Linked DNA regions of Rattus norvegicus. The protein of the gene in region 1 purifies or fractionates together with the protein of each later gene. This does not show direct contact. Links are inferred from orthologs where the notes say so. Each region holds a gene or a part of one and is shown in the gene's direction. Other genes may lie near its edges. The genes, in order: Gemin4 and Snrnp70.

Region 1 (2,578 bases):
ATATAGGGATCAAACTTAGGTCATCAGGATTGGTGGCAGATGTCTTTAACCACTAAGCCATGCCACTGGTCTCTCTCTGTCATATCTTCTAATGCATACTTGGTAGCACAGTCTCCTAATCTACCCACTGTTAACTCAGCAGCCAGTTGTCCTCTTAACACTTTGCTGAGGGATCTTAGTCACTTCCTTAATTTTTATGGACTTCTCTGTGTTGGCACTGCCTATACTCATATCAGGCCTTTTCTCCTTAACTCATTGCCTTTGCTGAAGGACATCACTAAATGTTCTACCTCAGACTCCAGGTAACCAGAACTTGAAGCTTGTCCTGCCTGAGGTTAAGAGCAGATTTGTTTCTTGTAGACTAGAGTTGAGTTCCCAGCAGCCACACCAGCAGGCTCAATGACCCGTAACTCCAGCTCCAGAGGATCCAGCATCCTCTTCTGGCCTCTGTGGAGATTGCATTCATAAGTATAAACCCCCACAAATACAAACACATAATTAAAATATTTTTTAAAATACTTGAAAGCCTATTCTGAATCCCTCTCTGCCTCCTATTTCCAGAGAGGTACCATTGTCCTGATATCCAGGCCAGATATCTTGGAAACCAGTTTTTGTTCCTCAGCCAAGTCCAGGTGACCCCAGCCCTTTTGGAGCTCTTACTAACCTTCCTCCCCTGCTGATGTCAAGGTCTTCTTGATAATGATAACCATCTGACGGCTGTTTCTCCTAGCTTCTCTCACTATTCCAAAAACTTCATTAACTCTTGGCTTCTCTGTGCAGGACCCTTGAATATCTGTGAGGAAATGACTATTCTGCATGGGGGCTTCTTGATGGCTGAACAGCTATTCCACCCCAAAGCCCTGGAACAGTTGACAAAGTCTGATTGGGAACACGTGGGACAGCCCATTGTAGAGGCCTTGAAGGAGATCTCCTCAGCCACAGCACATTCCCAGCCATTTGCCTGGAAGAAGAAAGCATTAATCATCATCTGGGCCAAGGTTCTTCAGCCCTCCCCTGTCAGCCCTTCTGACACTGATACTCGGTGGCAGGAAGATGTATTCTTTTCCGTGGGCAACATGATCCCTACCATCAACCACACAGTCCTTTTTGAGCTGCTTAAGTCCCTGGAAGCTTCTGGACTCTTCATTCAGCTCCTAATGGCCCTGCCTACCACCATCGGCCGCTCAGAACTACAGAGCTTTCTGGAGCACATGACTATTGACACTTCTTCCAAGGATGTGGCTTTCTTCCTAGATGTCTGGTGGGAAATGATGAAGCACAAGGGTGATGAACAGGACCCCTTGCTTTCCCAGTTCAGGACGATGGCCCATAAATACTTGCCATCCTCAGATGAGTTTTCCCATCCTCCGAAGAGGTTTAAGTCTGACCCAGATGTAGGTCCCACCATGCCACTTTTGGCTATGCTGCTTAACGGGCTGAAGCAGATCCAAAAGAGAATCCTGTCCCTTGGAATGAAGTGCTGTGCATTAGCTAACTTGGCTGACATGCTGAGCGTGTTTGCATTGATGGAGGATGACACCCAGGAGGTGTCTGCCACTGTGTACCTAGACAAACTAGCGACGGTGATCTCTGTGTGGAATTCAGACACCCAGAACCCATACCATCAACAGGCCCTGGCAGACAAGGTAAAGGAGGCAGAGCGGGACGTGAGTCTCACCTCACTGGCTAAACTCCCCAGTGAGACTGTTTTCATGGGGTTTGAGCTTATGTACAACCTGCTGCAGGAGTGGGGTACAGAACTACAGGACATGCTCAACAGCAGTCAGGGGACAAATTATGACACCTACCGGCTGTGTGACAGTCTGACTTCCTTCAGCCAGAATTTGGAGCTCTACCTGGATACTGCCAGCCTGCCCAAGGAGGAGAGGGAGGTGGTCTTAGAACTGGCTAAGTGTGTCAGGGACTTCCTGAGGAAAACCAGCAGAATGCTGAACGACAAGGGCCTTGAGGACATCACTGCCTCCATTGCTATGGCCATCATTGAACAGAAGATGGACCGGTACATGGAGATGTGCTACATTTTTGCCTCTGAGAAGAAGTGGGCCTTTTCAGACGAGTGGGTTGCCTGCCTGGTTAACAACAGGTGTCTCTTCAGAGAACCAGACTTGGTCTTGAGTCTGCTGGAAACAGTGATGGAAGTCATAAACTCTAATAGGGTTATCCCCCAGACTCACATCAAGCAGGTAATCTGCTTGACTCTGGAATGCTATGAAGACCTCTCTCTACCAGATAAAAATAAAGTCCTTTCTGGTGTCCTGCATTATTTGGGGCCAAAGGGCCTCTCAGACAGGTTGTCTAATTACTTGGAGGGTTTTCAGGAAGATCTCAATACAACGTTTAACCAACTCGCACAGAGCACCTCTGAACAGGGCCTGGCTAAAGCTGTGGCCTCTGTGGCCCACCTGGTGATCCTGAACCCAGAAGTTGTGGTGAAGAAGATGTGTAGCCTCGCTGTGACCAACCTTGGCACACATAGGTTTTTGGCTCAGATTCTCACTGCCTTCCCTGCCCTGAAGTTCACAGAAGAACAAGGGCCAAATCCATATACCAGTTTCAT
Region 2 (3,824 bases), on another chromosome or scaffold:
TGAAGCAGGTTCATTGTACTGTCTAAAATAGAGCAGAGGATGGATCAGGTACGGTAGGGTATCTATCTATGCCCAGTAACTATAGAAGCTTCTATTAAAGGAGACTCTGTCCCTTTGCTGAGCACTTGATGTCCTTCATGTTATGAACTCATGGTGACTTGTACGTGCAGGAGGAATGATTATTCCCATTGCAAGATGAAAAACAAGTAGTATGTTGTGGAGTTGTAGAGTATCTTATAAAGAGGGGGCGTTTCAGGTTTCACAGCAACTAATGGAAAGCCTAGTGAAGTTTTCTAGCTGTAAGGCTTCCTGTAGTCTAGTTCTGTGTTAGGGTCCTGACAAGGGAGTCCTAAGAAGTTCAACCTTGACACATATGCACATTTAGGCACTGGCTGTCAAAGAGAAAGGAAAAGGGGACAAGAATCATCACTGATTCCTTTTCTTTTTTAAAAATAAAACTTTTTTAAAGATTTGCTTTATGTATGAGTGCACTGTAGCTGTCTTCAGACTCACCAGAAGAGGGCATCAGGTCTCATTACAGGTGGTTGTAAGCCACCATGTGGTTGCTGGGAATTGAACTCAGGACCTCTGGAAGAGCAGTCAGTGCTCTTAACCACTGAGCCATCTCACCAACCTGACTCCTTTTTTCTTTACTCCTCCCAATTTTCAGCACCCTAGGATTAACCCTGCCTAGGGACAGGTAGTGGGATGAGGTCAGCAATGTTGAGGGGCATCTCTTGAGTGGAGGTGCAGTTGAAAGCCTTAAGTTTTGAAGAGCCCTCTTTTGTTATGACCATGCCCTTTTTTTTTTTATTCATTTATTATATATAAGTACACTGTAGCTGTCCTCAGACACACCAGAAGAGTGCATCGGATCTCTTTACAGATGGTTGTGAGCCACCATGTGGTTGCTGGGAATTGAACTCAGGACCTCTGGAAGAGTAGTCGCGTGCTCTTAACCGCCGAGCCATCTCTCCAGCCCATGACCATGCCCTTAATGATCAAAAGGACTACCACCATGGCTGATTCTTTGGATCTAGTTTGCCTGTTGGTGGGAAAGTCACAACTGATAACTGAAGAAGCTTGCAAAATATTAATGCCTGTGATCTGTCAATATGAGAAACACAATTTGTAACAAAGACCATTTGTCTGGACTGCTTAAGCATAGGCAGGCAGAAGAAATAGCCCTGCTTTCCTGCTTAAAGGCCCTAGACATGCCTTGTGTTCTTCCAAATTGCTATGATCCTGAGAAGGACGAAGATCTTTAAGTTTTTTAAGATTTATTTATATACACTAGAAGATCCCATTACAGATGGTTGTGACCCACCATGTGGTTGCTGGAAATTGAACTCAGGAAGATCTTTGGAATGACAGCTAGCTGCTGAGCCATCTCTCCAACCCCCAACCCCCTTTATTTTGATTTTTTTTTTTAAAGAGCATTGCTTTCTGTAGCTCAGACTGGCCTCAAATTCTTAGCATTCACCTTTTCCCCAAACTGTGTTTTTATCTCTTCTATGACCTCTTTATTTAGCAGTTCTAGCTACATTCTAAGGATTGTAAGAATGAGAGAGCCAGGGTGGCTGATAAGATGGGCACAGAATGTTCAGCACAGGGGTGCAGCTTCTAGCACCCCACACCCCATAAAGATTGGTTAATAGATTCTTGGTTTTTTTCTGGAGACTTAATTCTTGTCCAAATGGAACAGTGTCTTGGAAGTTCCTGGTCATTTGCTTTTAGCACTAGCCCAGGGTCCCTGCCTCAGGGCTAGGGAATGGAGGAGAAAACCTATCCTTAACTATCTTCCTTTTTGAGACAGGGTCTCATTTCGTAGCCCAGACTGACCCCACCTATCCTGGACTCTGGTTCTGTAGTCTGAGGTCTGAGACTGTTTGGTACCAGGTTTGCTCCTTTGCTGTGGTTGCAGTCTGTCACAAGCTAGCTCAAGCCATTCCTCCAGTGAGATCCCACAGCCTTGGGTAATGCTCAGTTCACCTTGCACTGGGAATGGCTAGCCAAAGTATATAGTTGTGAAGTGACTTTTAGGTCTTCCACATCCTGTTTGATGTTTTTGCTATCCCAGGAGACTGTTATCATCATCTGTCAATCACTCTAGAAAAAGACCATTGAACTTTAGTGAAACCAGTCCTGAAACGGGGTGTACTCGAGCTTACTAAATCACACTCAGCTTTTCTCTCGGGGTCGGGGGTGCCTAGGTTCCATCTTCATGTACTCGGCCTCTTCCCATCCATTGCTCCTCTATCCAAAACTGTGGGCACTGTCTACTTCAAAATGATCTTCTCTTTGTACAGGGGACCCTCACAATGATCCCAATGCTCAGGGCGATGCCTTCAAGACTCTGTTCGTGGCTAGAGTGGTAAGTACCCAGTTCCTGTCCTGGGTATCCTAGGCTACTGAGAATTTGGGTCTAGTTCTGAGTGGTTCAAGGGCTTTGGAACAATGTGCTTCTTCCACTTAACTTAGCTTTATGTCTTGTAGAACTATGACACAACAGAATCTAAGCTGCGAAGAGAGTTTGAGGTGTACGGACCCATCAAAAGAGTAAGTGTGTCCAGGTAGAGGGTTGAGGTGGGGGTACTTGGAGGAGGGAGCAGTGGCCTGAAGAGAAGAAGGCGGCTGGGTTCCCTGCCTAGGAACATCATTCTGGGCCTGGGTTTATTTCCTTTAGTATAGCTTTAATGTCAAGTAACATTGGAAATGGTGAGGCCTTGTGGATTTGAAGACCAGCTCTGCAGTGTTCAGCCTGCTGTAAGTTGGTGTATGTGCAGTCAGTCGATTAAGGTTAAGTCAGCCCATTATGGGGTTAGGCTGTGTTTGGGTGGTAAGTTGGTTGGAATTTTACAGTTTGTACTTGCCTAAAACTTAATGCAAATTATTGCCCAAGACCTCTTAAATTAGTTATTTGTTCTCTTCTGCCCCCAGGACTAGGGCTTAAGCCCAGGGCAGAGGTGTATATGCTAAGCAAGCATTGTACCTGAAACTATATCCCTAGTCCCTGTATAATTGCTGCGTTATAGACTTAAGAATTCTTTGTTTTACGTATATGGGTGTCCTTTGCCTGCTTGTATCTGAGTGTATTACTACACTGGTGACTGGTGCACAAGAAGTCCAGAATAGGTTGCTAAGTTTTCTGGAACGGGTTACACAGGGTCATAAGCCACCATGTGAGTGGTGGGAAGCAAGCCGTGTCCGCTGCAAGACCATCAAGTGCTCTTAACCACTGACCCATTTCTTCGTATTCCTGACTGCCTGTATGTATTCGTATTCACATGAGTGCAGTGCCCGTGAAGGCCAGAAGGCATTGGATCTAGAATTCCTATGACTGAGCTGCCATGTAGATGTGAGGGGACATCTTGGGTTCTCTGCACTGCCTTATTGCAGTGGGAAGGAGGAGAGGATTGGCATGTGTGGAGCCACTTCAGATGGGTTTTCTTCCTTGGTATGAATCCTGGAGATCAAACTCAGCCCTCTCCCTGGCTCTTAAGATTGTCCCACAGAGTCTAGGCTGGCCTTGAGTTCATTATATAGAGAAGATGACCTTCATGACCTTCAATTTTGATGTTTTAGGGGTTGAATACAGGGCTTCATGCATTTTTAGGTTATTACTACCAACTAAGCTACAGATCACAGACTTTTTTTTCTTTTTTTTTTGGTTCTTTTTTTCGGAGCTGGGGACCGAACCCAGGGCCTTGCGCTTCCTAGGCAAGGGCTCTACCACTGAGCTAAATCCTCAACCCCTTCACAGACTTTTTTTATTTGTTTGTTAAGACAGGGACTAACTATTCCAAATAGGCCTCTCTTCTTTT

Evidence for each region.
Region 2: the proteins of Gemin4 (region 1) and Snrnp70 purify together in Homo sapiens (affinity purification with mass spectrometry; 5 studies listed by BioGRID and IntAct, counting the BioPlex papers as one, with this or other methods). This does not show direct contact. The link is inferred for Rattus norvegicus from reciprocal best matches to the Homo sapiens genes GEMIN4 and SNRNP70.

The regions. Positions count from the first base shown.
Region 1 is NC_086028.1:61,566,211-61,568,788, reverse strand, and holds part of Gemin4 (gem-associated protein 4), read left to right. Parts: intron 1-780; coding exon 781-2,578. UniProt on the Homo sapiens protein: The SMN complex catalyzes the assembly of small nuclear ribonucleoproteins (snRNPs), the building blocks of the spliceosome, and thereby plays an important role in the splicing of cellular pre-mRNAs.
Region 2 is NC_086019.1:105,002,827-105,006,650, reverse strand, and holds part of Snrnp70 (U1 small nuclear ribonucleoprotein 70 kDa), read left to right. Parts: intron 1-2,309; coding exon 2,310-2,374; intron 2,375-2,496; coding exon 2,497-2,559; intron 2,560-3,824. UniProt on the Homo sapiens protein: Component of the spliceosomal U1 snRNP, which is essential for recognition of the pre-mRNA 5' splice-site and the subsequent assembly of the spliceosome. SNRNP70 binds to the loop I region of U1-snRNA.